Schizosaccharomyces pombe: one gene and its partners. Changing the gene in region 4 together with the main gene of any one other region gives a genetic interaction. Each region holds a gene or a part of one and is shown on either strand. Other genes may lie near its edges.

Region 1 (3,705 bases), on a different chromosome or scaffold from region 4:
GGGGCGATGCTGATGCGCAGTTTGAAGCTGGTCTTCAAATGTCTTTGGGAGCTGTTTCAGACAAGGACTCTCATATGGCAGCTTACTATTACCGTTTGGCTGGATTTCAAGGGATTTCACCCCCTTCGAAATGCAAGTGGGTTTATAAATCGAAATATAGCTTAGCTGCTAATCATAAAGTGCCTGCTGCAAGCGAAGTGGCATATGTTTCGGCCATTGTAGAAAATTTAGAATCTCACTCACTGAAGTTTTCTACAAAGCCAAAAGCTAAATTACGAAGTTTGATTACTTCTGTAAGGTATTTGTAAAATCCCTCTCATTCTTTTACCATTTTTTTTGTCTTTTTTTTTTGTTTTTGTCCTATTCATTTATTTGCATTTTCCACAATATGTGTTTGCTAGTTAGTCCTTTTTTTTATTACAATCGCTCTTTAGTCCCTTTATAATTTAGTTTGAGATTTGCATATCTAGATAAAGAATTTAAAATTCTTTACTAATCCATTAAGTTACAAAAGACCAATAATTATTCATTAAATTCATTACAAAAAATGAAAAAAAAAATAACTTAATTAAGTTTAGTTGAAAAAAAGACAAATACTCAATGAAGCAAACAAGTCAAATCTTATCCTTGATACCTAGTTAAAGGATAAAAAGTGATTCCGACGATGAGAAAATAATCAAAGTAAGTTAGGCTTAATGGCATAATCCTACAGTTTGAACAGTATCACAATGAGATCTCCTATAGCCAAAAGCAGCACCGATAGCAATGGCGAGGATGACATAAGCCTAAATAAGTAAGTATAAAGCAAGAAAGATAGATGATTGTATTCGACTATTCCCTCGAAGTCATTAACTTACGTTGTAGGTCATGGCAACCAACCTAAGTCACTTTAGTTAGTAAAAAACAAAGAATAAATTGATTGAAAATCGGAAAATAGACAGATCATACGAAGCAATGTCTATTATGAACATACATTAAGAAATATGAAAACACCAGTTGAACAGCGTACAATGCACACAAACGAAAAGGTCGACCACTTTTTAGACTCTTACTATGATGGGTTAACAAACCCTCAGACTGCTGACCAGCATAACCTCTTTGAAATTCTGTTTCCTTTAAACTGGTAAAGCTGCGAAGTCTTTCAAAAAGATAACCCAGAATCGCAATTGCTAACAGAGAGAGTAAAAATTGGCTCAAATTACCGATATGCCAACTTTTAAATACTATGCATAAGCTGCAAGGTTAGAAAATAACGAACGTTTAAAAAATATAATAAATCGGGAAAAAGTCAATGAAAATAATTGTACCAACAGTTATCTAGAACTTCATAAACGAACGTACTTGTCATAATCGGTGTTAAAGGTCATCTAAGCATGTTAACGAGTGTTTTTGGATAATCAAAACAAATACTGAAATAAAAAATAGAAAGATCATACCTTCATTGAACAGTGTCGCATCGTAGAATTACCGCCGTGATTCATAGTGCCTACAGAATTACTTTTTACTTTCGGCTGAGGTAGAACAAGGTTAAAACACAAATATAGTAAAGAATGGATGTACAGGGCAAATAAAAACTTATAAGCAAACGAAGGTAAATTGCAGTCTAGCACTCATCATTTTATGTAAAGACGCGGTGTTTATGCTACAATTATGCAAGTAACGATATATCAGCCGATCCACTCCAGCACCACGTACACTAATGGTATATTGCATTGAATAAATTTACCGAAAAAGAGTGAACATTAATGGTAAGGAAAGAAGCAAACAGTATGTATAGAAAATACGAATAACTGAAATGCATAAGCAAGCACGTTACAGTATTACAAATCTTGACTTACAGGCATTTCAAAGAAAATTGGATTGCATAAAGAAAGGATGAGTTAAATATTTCAAAGTATAGTCTTCATTTAGCAAATACGAGTAAATGTATAAAATATTTTCATTACAAATTGAACTTCATAAATATATACTCACTTTTATCCTTAATCAGATGTTTTATTGATTACTAATTTTGTATGTCAAGGAACTCATAGCGGCATAAATATTAATTTAATCATTTACAGCAAGATATGCAAGCACATGAGATACACTTTGTTTACAACTCAGAACTTTTAGACACTAACGGTTGAAGTAGAAAAGTTGCAGAGTGAGAATTGACAATCGGAGGCTTCATATCTTTGCCAAGACCTTCAATCTCCAATTGAATTTTCGACAATATTGAGTCCCTTACTTCTTGGGATACCGGTTGACTGCGTTTTTTATTTTGCACATGAATCTCAACAATGTTTCCATCTTGTAAAAAATCTTTAACACTTTTAAGTTTTCTCTCGATATCATTCACATCAGTTCTCCAAGAAAACAGTACATATCGAGTACGAGTTTTATTTTTGTGCTTCGATTTTTCAGCTTCACGTAACCTAGAAGATTGATTTTCTCGTAATTTGCTAAGTTCTGTGTAGCTGATGATAGAACATATAGGATATTTATTGTTCTCGTTTGGATCGGCCACCTTGTAAAGAACAGTTTCCGGTTTTGCGCGAACTCTAGCCAACGCTTCAACTAAAGATGTCTTCGAGAGTTTCCCTTTATTTTCCAGCCCCCGAATAAATATTTCTTGATACTTGATCGATTCATCAATTCGTCCATCAAAGTACTTCTTTATAGAATTACTGAGTTTCGCACTTGCAAATTGAGAATTCATAAAAGTCCGGCTCTGGCATTTTCGAAAAACTGAAGTTAAGGAATAGGAAAACTGAATGAAAAGTTTTCGATGAGGAAACTGTAAGTAACTATTCATTTCTCTCAGTAGCTACTGTGCAAGCCGTATCGTATAGTAATAACTGTTTGGTCAAAAACTTCAATCCAGCAAATTACCAACAAATATATGAAGAATCGAAGAACGGAGGTATTGCAGCTTGTACTAGATTTTAATGAAGTAAAACTCTATATATGTTTTATATACAAGCTAACTAAAATGAAGAGCAGTGTATTTGAATTCCTCTAGCGTGTACCAACCCCCAATGAAATGCGAATTTCATCATAACGTTGTTTAACGTATGCTTCAGTAGCTCACTAGTAAACAATGTAAATAAACGAAATTAGTTACTCCAAGACTCCTGTAAGTGAAAATGCTGAGAAATGTGTTTTTGTTATTATGCTAAGTTAATATATCTGTAACCTTTTTTGAAAAAGTCGTTTTTCATGAAATTTCAGGTGTTATGCACGGCTTCAAAAGCTGGTATCTAATCAGATAAGACGCACATAGTTATACTTAATACGTGCATACTTTACTAAGTATAGAAGGCAAAATTGTAAGTAGATCAAACATCTACCTATTTTAAATAATTATATTCTTTAAATAGACTTGGCAAATCTTTCGATGTATTGGATTAACTCAAAGACAAGGCTTTTCACGGTACAAGGCTATTCGCTGTGATAATTCATTGTTTGCTTCTTAAATTTCCAGAGCCTTGGATAAAATTTAATAAAACTGACTGATGATTTAAGAATAATTAACAAAAGATCAGTAATAAAGCTCAAATAAAGATTCGTCTGCCAAAAGACAAAACAACAACTTAGTCAATATTTTTAATCTCATTTTCCTCATAATAAATGGCAATGTTTAACAGTTAAAAATCAAATCTATTTAATAAACTTTTATAGTCAGCGGTTAGTCAAAAAAGTCTCTAGTTTAGTCCAGTAATT
Region 2 (3,807 bases), on a different chromosome or scaffold from region 4:
GAAATTTTTTTACTTCTACTTGATCCTTTGGAGTAGAGGGATCCAGTGCGCAACCTGTGCGATTTACAACTGCCATTGCCCAAGTGTCGAAGTTTTCTCTAAAGACGTCCAATAATTGAGAAAGATATTTTACTATTTCAGGATCCGTGTTATCGATTATTGACTCTTTCTTCTCTCGCATTTCACCAATTGTACTAGCAATTAAAATTGTATAACGAGTACAAGCATCATCGTCAAATAAGGATATGATTTTCTGTTCTGCCATATTATCTAAAAGAAGGAAGATATGAAAAGGAAAAAATTAAGTAATGTATGTTTTGATATGATTCGCATAGAATGCACAGCAGAAAGTAATTGTGCACCAAAAGTTTAAGAACTTCTGGTATCAGGAATTAGGAATGAAAAACTTCTTCTTTCAAAGCAAACCTATTAAGAACTAAAAAAGTAAACAATAGTTGAAAGAAAATGGTCGTAAAGCAAACTTGATATTGAAGCACTTAGCACACTAATGGAAGAAACGTCATAGGTTAACTCTCAATATAATGGAGATGTGCGCACTCACTATTTCAAGTTAAGGCACACCAATCTCGGCCACGATCAGCTTGGAAATGGCACAAGGAGGGTTCAAGGAATAGTGATACCAATGAAGCTAAAAAAATTCCAGAGCTATCTGAAGAGCCAACAGTACTAATAGCTAGTTCACGCTGACTACTCTCCGTAGTCTGCAAACTATGATACACGTTCACATAAACGGTACCACCAATAAGACCCTCAACGAATATGAGGAATAGTACAAAATGATAGCTGGAAGTAAGATATAGGGCCGACTGTAGTATAGTAAATAGAAGGATAATGAACTGTGTTATTGCCAATGTGCGCAAATATGGGACAGTAAAAAATGAAATGGAGGATCGCGATAGGAAAACACCAATCTGGTAAACAGTTTGGTAAGTAGGATAAAAATCCCTAAACGAAGAAAAGCCAGCTTTTTCGGGCGGGAATAAAAGAGTGGGAGCTACACCAATATTGATAGTATATTCTGAGAAGTATACAAGGAACTGCGGAAACATATGACTAAGAAGGTATGGTTGCATGAATATGAATGTTTGCTTCAAAGAATTAACGAAATTGAATGAAACGTGCCCTGCTCGAAGATCAATAGATTCAATTGGCGTATAATTGTTGTTAATTGAAGGTGATGTAGATTCAGACTCTGGCAACACAAAAAAGTACATGATCAAAAGGAAAAGCGGCAGAAAGCTAGAGATAATAAGTGTGCTGCGTACCGAGAAGTTAAACCATGTAGTCATAACCAAATAGGAAGATGCACCAAAGAGACCGGCCAAGCCTGTTCCGGAACTCCAGCACGGTAAAGACACAGAGTGATAACGACTTGATAGATGCAAGAAAGAGATTTCGCCAAAACTCGATGAAATGGCTGCCAGAGATACACCAAGCATTTTCGAAGGGACGGAGGAAGACCAAGCAATCCATTGCATTCCTAATATGGACATGAAAACACAAAAACCGATTCTCTTTGCAAACTTAAATTTATGAACATGAAGAATTGATGCTGACAACTTGCACGCCAAAGAAGGAACAATATTAGAAAGTAGTACCACACCCTTAGAAACGTTTGCGCCAACCAAATCTAAGGCAGCGGATAAAATTATCACGTAGAGAAGGTTGTTTAACAATCCAAAAATTAGGAAGCAACACCCTACTTTCGCATCTTTTGTTAACCTCAATTTAATCATGATTCGTACTATATTTAGTAGAAACTGAGGTCATAAATTTTAGTTTGAACCGGCAATACGATAGTAGACTTTTGTAAAGTGCTAGTCTACAAATTTGCTGTTGTTTCGCAAATAGCACACTTTAAAGCCCTTCTATCGATGACTTCATAGACGAGTTAACTTGTTACAAACTGTAAATAGCGAGGATCAACGAACTGAAAAGCAAGTCGAGATATGTTTAACATTTATTATTCGAGTAGCAATAAGTTGAAGAAAAGAACTCGTAAGCGCTTAAGGGTACAAAAAAAATTGAGTTTTTAGTAACTTCGTAAGAGAAAGGCTACTACCCTTCACGAATGGCGTATTGAGCGATTGAATTATTACGGTAATGTTGTCAGGTTCAAAAGAAACCGATTTTGAATGTTACACTGTTTTTTCCAAGCAACCGCTATCAAGCTAAAGCTTACCCTACTAAAATTTCAACGACTAGTAACTGACATGCCTTGCTTGCTGTGATCGAAAAGCTCCTAGTTTACTCATGCTTCGGTTAGCACTTCTTGAAATCTCCCAGGAAAACAATTACAACATCTTTAAATATTCTATTCACGTGTCTACAGCTTCTACTTATGAAGTTATTGTTTTTGGCACGAGATTTATTTTGGTTTAATTCCGATCTTCGTTTGCTTATGTTTAAAAACTCTAAATCGTAAATCAAAACAAATTGAATATAATATCGTATGAATGTGTCTTTACCGAACTACGGTTAACATCGTTATTGCATTATCACTTTGCTCAACAATAATATAAAATAGTAATACGCATGTATCTACTATAGATATTTCGTATTGCTTAGTCAATTTTTTTTTTTTTTTTTTACTAAATGAAGGTTTGACGCTCCGTTACGACTGTTTATAATAACGAATTGGAAACCGAACCGAAAAATCATCTCGTTCATTATCAAATTTGCCTTGTTTGCTTTGACCCATAACACATTACATTTAACAGTAATGGGATCATTATGTTAGTTACTGGGAATTATATTATGCTTGATGCTGTACTACAAATTTATAATACTGTCCATAGAAAGTGCGATATTGGCGTTTTAACGAGCGTTTCGCTATCATTCTCTAGTTTACAAATCGCACCTCACCATGGTTCATAAATCCAGCAGCTACAGCAAACAGCTGTTTGCAGACGCACTTTAGAGTTTGAATTTTAGAATCTCTTTTAAGTAAAGCTAAGAGACTTATAATCTCTTAGATTTCCTTTGGTTTTATATTAACTTCAATGAGCATAATGAATTATTATGCGATCACAGTGCCATCGACATGTTTCAACATTTTTTAAGCACATGCTGTTAATACTATTTAATCCACTAAACTTACTAATGAGAGTATCCTTTTAATCTACTGATAAACAAAAGGAGTTTTCGTGCTGTAAAATGGTAATTTTACAGTACCACCCTCTCCCTGTAATCGAAAATGCATACCAGATATGATGATGCACTCATTTTAACTCTCTTTAAACTATTAAAGTATATTCCATCATTTCCGTACCCTCGTTTCAGAATGTTCATATGCGACTTGTATAAACAACTCATATAATCTGAATGCAAAACTTCCCTCATTGTTAGAGATGATCATGTGTAGATCATCAAGTAAAAAAGATGGACGATGTGCGCTTCAATGAGTTAACACTCGCATCAAGCTTTTGGTAAAGCCTTTGACTCCTATTTTTTTTGCTCAGCCTTGTTATATTTTGTTTAAACCAGTAAGAAACTGATTAATAAAAGTTTCCCCACACTTTTGAATGTTTTGTCGAATAAGCACTGTTTTTCTGTTTGTTTACAGAGTCGATTGTTTCGGTTTGAGTGATATTTAAAGCAGCATTTTTTTTGTATATATAGAGCCTTTAGTACGAACTTTCTTTTCTTTACCGATTGATTTTTGTCAAATATCATTACTGTTGCATTCTTATCTTCTTGTGTCAATATTTTTTTTTCGGCACCTTGTGCTTCTTCTGATCGCAATTTTGTTTAGTATCGATATCGCGATTTTTTTGACTCTTCTTT
Region 3 (5,261 bases), on a different chromosome or scaffold from region 4:
AGTTGCTCGACTCGCTTCATCTCTTCTTTGTGAGCTTGCTCATCTTTCCAAACTTTTTCCTGGTTCCTCATTAGCAGAGGATGCCTAATCATAATATTAGTAAAACATCTTTAAACAATTATATTAATGCAAATAAATCCACTTACCAGCTTTTCTTCATATTTAGATCTCCACCACCCATTTTGAATTACTAATAAGAGTTGTTTAAATTTCAAAATAAAATTGAGAGGAAAATCCACTAATTGTTTTATTTTTAGGATTAAAAACCACAATTCTCAAAAAGTGGCTATTAATACAAAAAATTGAGTCTCGCTTTACCTGTGACTCATAGTGTTTTGCAAACATATACACTAAATTACTTGGGTAACATGTTACCCAAGAATAGAAAGTCAAGCTTGCGAATTCTGAGACCAATCAATAATAATCACGTTCAGATTTCTTAGTATTTTAGCTATAACTAAGTCATTGATAAACGTAAGTTCTATTTCACTTTAAACTGATTAAAAAGCAATGTATCATTAAAAATCCTACTTGATTATGAATGTGATTTTAAACAAATTGGTATACAGCATGAAAACATGGGTTGAAACTTAATTATATACTGGAATAGAATATGTGAATTCAGTCCAATAAGTTGCATATTATATACTTAATCCATTCAAAATCAATCAACATTTCTAAAATGAGAAATGACTAAGTTATTCTCCTTGGCAAAACGATGGTAATTCAGCAAGCAAAGTGTAATTTACATAAGCTATGCATTTAATGAAAAGATTAACAATCACGTTTTTTATTTTTTTTTGTGCATGGAGACATGACAAACTTCAACATCAACTTCACTGGATATTAGTAATGATATCCAGAATTTTTGCGCTTCTGAGAGCCTATCATTATCGCTTTTAACTTCTGAAAACATAAATTTTTTTTTAGACGGATTCCACAAACATAAATCAGGTATCCCGCTAGAACTATTTTTATAATCTTGGGTCAAAGCAAGAAATATTTGGGCGAGTCCATTATCGTTGATACAATCGACAATTTCAAGAAGCATTTCGCAAGTATACGACCAATTAAGACCTACACAAAATGTTTTTCTTTGGTGCTCTCTGATATAATTATCTTTTATAATTAGGCCAGCTTTCCCATTTCTTATTTCCTCAAGTCTTTTCATGATTGTCGATTCTCTAGATATATAAAAGGAATCAGTGTGCAAATCCAAAGGTGCACTTTGAAACGGAGATTGAAAAACACCAGGAACGTCCTCAAACAAAATATCCCAGAATGTCAAAGCAAACAAAGTTAGCAAAATGCTGCTTTCAGCATGTATACCTTCCCACCCAATCGATTGATAATGTTGAAGAGCAAGCTCTTCAACTGTGATAGCATTATTAGTCTTGCTACGCCAAACAGTCCGGTTTGAAAGGTCACCGTTATGTATTCGTTCACCATGAAGAAAAAGTCTTGAAGGATTATTATTTATAAGTTTCATGCTTTTTAATTCGGTAGTATTAGAGACTTTTAAACACTTCCGTAAGCGAACAAGTCTCCTTTGTAAGCTAAAGTAATATCTGAGGTGGGTATACTTGTCTTCAATACCATTTTCACAAGTTGATAAAGCAAGCGTTTTCCAATAACGCAAAACGTTAGTATCCTCAGTTTTAAAGTTGTATTCCAGTAAGGCTTTTCTATTATACCAATGTCCTCTTTTACCCACCAAATATATATTTTGAGATAAAAGGGTATCTAATATTTCATGTTCAACCTCAACTAATCGCGACTTCGCGAGAATATTTAGACTTTTATGTATTAAGTATGTGTAAACAGCACCAGGACGAAAGCTAAAAGAAAACCTTACCAATCGAGTATCTACTTTTCTATTTTCTTCCACCCAAAATTCCCTAATGTCTTCATTTAGATATGTCGACCATATAGGATATATTTCAAAAAAACTGTTCAACGCTTGTTCGAGTGCTTCCTTATCCGAAGCGGCAGTGTTTTCAAAGATTGGAACCAAGTTTTTTGAAAGTTCTAAAACCTCAACGTATTCAAGGCATTGAGCACGACAATTAAAGACGTTTGAAGTTCGCGATAAAACGTAATTCGGGTAGGAAAATTTGTTAAGGCGTGCTAATATTAAAGACGTAAGCGATTGTTCATCATAAATGGACGAACGAAAGTACACAATATTAATTCGATGAAATAGGTCTACTAAAATTTTCTTTGGTTTCACACAGGATTTGCATTGATATAATAGTTGCTTCCGAAGAAACGACTCTTGCTTATGCATCACACCAAAAGCATCAAAGGACAAAAATTGTTGACCATTACAATGTAGTACTGATTGTCTTTTAGATAGGAAAATGATTTCTTTTGAAATTTCAGACCTGCTTTTTCCACACACCTTCGTTTGTCTAGCTAACGAACGCAATTCATCGAGAGATAGAATTTCAATTATTTCTTCAGTTGACATGAGTGATTCATCTTCAAAAAAATTTTTCAGAACAAGCTGCTTACAGCAGGCAATAACATCCTTGCAATCTGGATAAGTCAAATGGCCCACGCGGAACCATTTATTTCTTTTACGCATGAATAGACGAACAAACAAGTACCGTTCATCCGAGTCTAAAGCTTTAAAGTTTTCAATAACCCTCAACTCATCATCAGTAAAGATATGCGGTTCACAATCGAGGACGGTGTTTAGGATTTCTTCGAACCCCAGCAGATACATTGAATTTTTAGTAGAATATACATTGTGCTTATTAGTATTGGCAACTTGTCCTTTAACTGTTGTCTCTGGTGCTTGACATACAACTTTTAAGGGAGGGAAACATAACTTGTTCTCGTTTACCCCAGATTTATCTGGAGTGTTTATGTCGCACGCTTCATTAAAGAATCGTTTCATGAATTTTTAGATATCACAGCAGCGCGACTGAATAAGTGCACAAGATGATGGCCGTAAGTAAACAAATATTTAAAAAAAAGAGCGGCTTTTACAACAATGGAAAGCTAGTATGAAAATAAATAATAATAAATTTTGAATGAATGTAAACGTCTTCTTGTGTAATAAAGTAAATTTTTAAAAGATTGAACATACAATTTAAGAGCATGGATTTCAAGGATAAAATGAGACAAACATTAAATCTATCGTGGATGTACTGGCAAAAAAAAAACGAAAATTATTGAATTTCATGGCAGCTGTAAATTTTTAAAGATTGCTTTAAAAGAAAGCCATACAATCAAATACTATGGTCAAAAGAGAAAAATTCGTTAAAACTTAGGAGAATGGTACTAGGGTAAGGACAACAGTTTAAATAAATGCTTTTGAAAATTTAACTGCATTCGTAAGTTACAGTGTTGTCTATAATGCAAGTTTAGCGAAAGTTGCTATTTGAAACTAAAAAGAAAATGTAAGTCAACAACGTTGTGCTTAAAATTACGACGCTGGCGAAGTTACTACAAACTCTCACTACCTTAACTTAGTAAGTCGAAACTTTTGACTAACCTTGGGCGTATCACATAAAGAAAAAATAAGTTAATTATTATTGTTCATGTTATAAATTTTTTTTAGCAAGGAATCCAAGAGCATTGACGCGCATATCATTTCATTAGAATTTGTACTTTTGTATTCCCTACTTTCATCAAAGTTTTTTCCGGAGAATTTAAGAGTTCATTTTAATAAACGAATTTCTTCCCTCCCTTCTTTTTTGAATAATTTTTTAAATAGCCTCATATTCATTCACTAACATGGATTTGTCTTCCAGATTATCATCAGGTTCTTCACGGATACCCAAGCGACACAGAGATTATCGCGATGAAGAACCTAGACGAGAAAGAGGTTCGGGTGGGATAGGAAGGGAAGACCCGAGAGGCCATTATGGCTCTGAACGACCTAGAAGACGTCGCCGAGACGAAAGTGATTTTCGTAGACATAGAGAATCTCGTGAAAGAAGTTATCGAGAGGATGAGAGGCCAAGAAGAGAAAGAAGATATGATGATTATGAGCCTCGATCATTACGTTATTCATCTGTCGGAAGAAGTAGAAGTCCACCTCCCAGCCGAGAAAGAAGCGTAAGGTCTATCGAACAGGAACTCGAACAATTGAGAGATGTAACACCAATAAATCAGTGGAAAAGGAAGCGCTCTTTATGGGACATTAAACCACCTGGTTATGAATTGGTTACTGCTGACCAGGCGAAAATGTCTGGTGTTTTTCCTTTGCCAGGCGCTCCTAGAGCTGCAGTTACTGATCCAGAGAAATTGCTAGAATTTGCTCGCTCTGCGGAAGGAAGTATTATTGCTCCCCCTCCGCCCTTACAACCAGGTGCTAGCAGACAGGCTCGTCGACTAGTGGTTACTGGAATTCCTAACGAATTCGTTGAAGATGCTTTTGTATCATTTATCGAAGATCTATTTATTTCAACTACATACCATAAACCCGAGACAAAGCATTTCTCCTCTGTCAACGTCTGTAAAGAAGAAAACTTTGCTATTCTTGAGGTCGCTACTCCTGAAGATGCCACCTTCCTCTGGGGGCTTCAGTCCGAATCATATTCTAATGATGTCTTTTTAAAATTTCAAAGAATTCAAAATTACATCGTCCCTCAAATTACCCCCGAAGTTTCTCAAAAAAGAAGTGATGATTATGCCAAGAACGACGTTTTAGATTCAAAAGACAAAATTTACATTTCAAATTTACCTTTAAATTTAGGCGAAGATCAAGTGGTGGAGCTACTTAAGCCTTTCGGTGATTTATTAAGCTTTCAATTGATAAAAAATATTGCAGATGGATCTTCGAAGGGTTTTTGTTTTTGCGAATTTAAAAATCCTTCTGATGCGGAAGTAGCTATCAGCGGTCTTGATGGTAAAGATACGTATGGGAACAAGTTACACGCACAATTTGCTTGTGTAGGTCTCAATCAAGCTATGATAGATAAGTCTAATGGAATGGCCATTTTGACAGAACTTGCTAAGGCGTCATCACAATCTATTCCAACTAGAGTCTTACAATTACATAATTTAATTACTGGGGACGAAATTATGGATGTACAAGAATATGAAGACATATATGAGTCTGTAAAGACCCAATTTTCGAATTATGGACCACTTATAGATATAAAAATTCCTCGTAGTATTGGCACTAGAAACTCGGGATTAGGAACTGGAAAGGTTTTTGTACGATACTCCGATATCAGATCTGCAGAGGTCGCAATGGAAGAGATGAAAGGTTGTAAATTTAATGATCGCACGATTGTCATTGCTTT
Region 4 (3,373 bases):
AGGTGTAGAAACTCGAGATCAAGGTGTAGTAATCACCTGAAACAAAAAGCAGCTATAATGTACGTTAAATTTTCGCTCTTAAGAAGAAATATATTTATAAAGCTATTTATTTGGTAGCTAAATAGTCAGACTGGTACAAGCGTTGACACTATTGGAAAAGTTAAGTAAACAATCCTTGATCCATCTCTGAAGAGAATGATTAGTAATGAAGGATTCAGTGCCTTTAAGAAAAAAAAACCCCCCAATTGTCTTTTCAAGCACATTTATATTGTTATGTATGGCATGTAAATATAATGCAGCATGTGTAAAAGAATATTGGACAGTTGAAAGGACCATGCTTATTTTTAAAAAAGGAAAAAGAAAATAAAGCAGATGAATGAAATTGTAATACCAATCTTTTGATTTGTGGGTCTTTTCCCCTTTATTTCAGCTCGAGGTTCTCTTTCTGAAAATCAATAAATATAGCACGAATTGTTTAATTATTTTCTTGTTGCATAGCTTCGGTTAAAATAAATATATAAAACAGCCCTAGTATTTCCCAAATGTGTTTACTAGTCTTTTCATATTTTCACCGGCCTGTTGGTTTTAACTGATCAAAAGTCATCAAGCCACCTGTTTTTCACTGCAAATATCAAATTCATTTCAATACAATAGAAAAAATGATGTGAATTAGTTTGCATAGAAAAAAACCTGAGACTAGAACTGGTAAAAATTTCTGTGCATTCACAATTGTGGGGAACTGAAAAAATAGAGAATCCAAAATGGGGAGAATCCGATATAGACTATGTTAAATCTAATAAATTTATACTCCAACCCATTCACTCTAAACTCAAGCTTTCTTGTAAAAAACATCAATACTGTTTTCTTAAAATTCCATCTCTATTACTCACTAAAAGAGTATATAAAATATTAAAGAAGCAATTGTTCAAAAAGTGGTCGCATGATGTAGTCGGTTATCATGTCGATCTAATAAGTCGAATGTCGCCAGTTCGAACCTGGCTGTGACCATATTTTTGCTTCTCAAAATTAACAATATTGTGAGCTTGCACTGAAATGCTGTATCTTACATACCGTTATTTTTGTAAATAGTGTATCGTTAAAACAATACCTTCTAATAGTGGATAGCGCACTCAACGGTTCTGATGCTAAAAAATGTCACATTTCCTCTATGCAAAAAGGTTGGATGTCTTACCTAAATCTTAGGTGTGTGTTTTTCTTGTGCTAAAATTATGGAAATGTCACTGTTTGTGATGCTGGATTCCGACTGATTCACTCATTTGATGAAAAAAAATGAGGCATTTTTCTTCTACCTCCATCTGCTACTTGGATGTTACTTTGTTGGAAGAAAAAATCAATCGAGGTATTATTGCGCTGTAAAAGAGCTGATTTTAGGGACAGAAATAATCGCTCATTTCGTAGGTTATGGTATATATAAGGAAGGTGTGATAGAGACATTCCTGGACGCTTAACCTTGAGACGATTGTTTGACTGAAAGGCTTTGGTAGAACATTGGGTTGGTTAGTTTAATCGTTTAAATTCAGTTTATTTACTTGTAATTTTTCATATTGGTCGAAAAATTGGTTTTTTTTAGCAAAATATAGAAACAGAATATTTTCTTTGAAATCTGTATAAATTCAATTTGCTCTTCAATTCGTTGAGATTCTGCCCATTGATTGCCGAAATTTCGTTCATTTTATAATTGTGTTTTCTTTCTTTTCTTGTCTCTCATTTTCTTTTTCTTCCTTTTGATATTCATTTCTCCATTGTGTTTCGTAGGGTTAATTTTCATCTGCATATATTCTGTTTTCTTGTTTTTTAAGAACAAAAATTTTTCATCTAAATATATAATTGTCAAAGTTAGTAAGATACTGGTCTTCCCTAATCTTCAAGTTTTCTTTTAACTCTTTCGTCCTTTTTTTCTAAAACTCATTTACTACTCTTCTGGTTTTTTATTTTTCCCTAGAAGTCATGTCTTTCTTCTCCGCTGCAAAGCAAAGTCTGGGTAATTCCCTCATTAAGTTAGGAACATCTATGGCTCAAAATTCCCAAGGCCCTGTAGATGACTCTAGCTTGTCTCAATTGGAGAATTTGCTCCCACCTTTGCAAATTTTGACTGCTAGAGCCGCTATGGCTGCTATGAACATGTCGAATGATACATCCATGTCTGGAATGAACATGACCAACAGTACGACACCCATGTCTGGAATGAACATGACCAATAGTACAACATCCATGTCTGGAATGAACATGTCCAACAGCACAACATCCATGTCTGGCATGAATATGACTAATACCACTACAACCGCAAAGGCTTCTTCTTGTAAATTATCCATGTATTGGAACTGGTATACTATCGATGCTTGCTTTATTACCAAACATTGGCATATCACCAGTAAGCATATGTTTGTCGGTAGTATTTTCGGAATTATCTTCATGATGATGGCATTGGAATTGGTCCGTCGCGGACAAAGAGAGTTCGATCGTTGGTGTGTCCGTAGATTTTCTCCCGCTAGCAATTCCTGCTGTCATTCGGGTGCCCCTGTTCATTCTGGTCCAAGCATGGCCCTTCGAATCTTTCTTCATTTTCTTCGGTCCTGCTTTTATCTAGTCCAGTATATTGTCGCGTATATCGCAATGTTACTCGCAATGTATTATAATGGCTATGTAATTTTATTTCTCTTTTGTGGCACCTTCTTTGGCTATTTCCTGTTTGGTGCGGATACCATCTCTACTAAGGCCTCTTCATCTGTTCAAACGAAAACGATCGTTCAAGTCGCCGACGAAAAACACGAACATGATTCCAGTCAATATTCAGACACAACACCTACAACCGAATAGCTTGATTATCTCTAAATTTGGTTTAGTATTCCCAATTTCATGCACCTCACTCATTTTCAGTGCTGAAGCGTCTGATTAATCATAATCGTCTTCGCTTTAATTTCTTTCGCACAGTCACTGATAGTTTGGAAGAGGATTCTTTGATGAATGTTGAAGCCACATATTACATGTCCATGTTGGAAAGACAAAACAAATTCTGGTAATTTGTCTTAAGTTTTTACAAAGTAATAAAAGTTTCAACAAAAATAAATAGATGCCACAAGGTAACGCTTATCTTTGTTAGTTAAACATTCAAATTAGAGTATATAGCAATTTGAACAGATGTAATTCGTTCCTTTTTTTTTTTAACCATGATTGTTTGTTTTCGACTTTGAACCTGGAGGTTAATAAATATTTATTATTATAAAGACTGACATTAACACGATTCAGTACCTTTATGGTATCTTAAGGTGATCACTTTCTATATATTTTTAAATGAGTTTGTAATGACATGGTGCAACAGAACTACATAAGATATTCATCAATCACATTTTTG

The links.
Region 1: of ctr4 (region 4) and ctr6, changing one enhances a phenotype caused by changing the other (phenotypic enhancement), as found in Schizosaccharomyces pombe (2 studies listed by BioGRID).
Region 2: mutations in ctr4 (region 4) and btn1 together harm fitness less than expected from each alone (positive genetic interaction), as found in Schizosaccharomyces pombe (one large-scale study listed by BioGRID).
Region 3: mutations in ctr4 (region 4) and fan1 are lethal when combined (synthetic lethality), as found in Schizosaccharomyces pombe (one large-scale study listed by BioGRID).

Annotation. Positions count from the first base shown.
Region 1 is NC_003423.3:2,098,049-2,101,753, reverse strand, and holds ctr6 (Cu transporter Ctr6), read right to left. Parts: upstream 1,640-3,705; 5' UTR 1,482-1,639; coding exon 1,437-1,481; exon of another isoform or gene 1,368-1,436; coding exon 1,342-1,367; exon of another isoform or gene 1,235-1,341; coding exon 974-1,234; exon of another isoform or gene 880-973; coding exon 858-879; exon of another isoform or gene 786-857; coding exon 693-785; 3' UTR 501-692; downstream 1-500. Other genes in the region: SEL1/TPR repeat protein, protein kinase inhibitor Nif1, read left to right, coding at 1-308; mti3 (mitochondrial translation initiation factor), read right to left, coding at 2,096-2,797. UniProt on the Schizosaccharomyces pombe protein: Mobilizes stored copper from the vacuole to the cytoplasm under conditions of copper limitation.
Region 2 is NC_003424.3:2,049,896-2,053,702, forward strand, and holds btn1 (battenin CLN3 family protein), read right to left. Parts: upstream 1,854-3,807; 5' UTR 1,758-1,853; coding exon 567-1,757; downstream 1-566. Other genes in the region: protein Mil1, read right to left, coding at 1-265. UniProt on the Schizosaccharomyces pombe protein: Involved in vacuolar transport and vacuole pH homeostasis. Also required for cytokinesis.
Region 3 is NC_003423.3:1,009,811-1,015,071, forward strand, and holds fan1 (fanconi-associated nuclease 1), read right to left. Parts: upstream 3,296-5,261; 5' UTR 2,903-3,295; coding exon 791-2,902; 3' UTR 538-790; downstream 1-537. Other genes in the region: protein Cwf25, read right to left, coding at 1-84, 147-181; prp2 (U2 small nuclear RNA auxiliary factor small subunit, U2AF-59), read left to right, coding at 3,745-5,261.
Region 4 is NC_003421.2:816,491-819,863, forward strand, and holds ctr4 (Cu(2+) transporter complex subunit Ctr4), read left to right. Parts: upstream 1-1,968; coding exon 1,969-2,838; 3' UTR 2,839-2,871; downstream 2,872-3,373. Other genes in the region: telomere cap complex subunit Ten1, read right to left, coding at 3,359-3,373.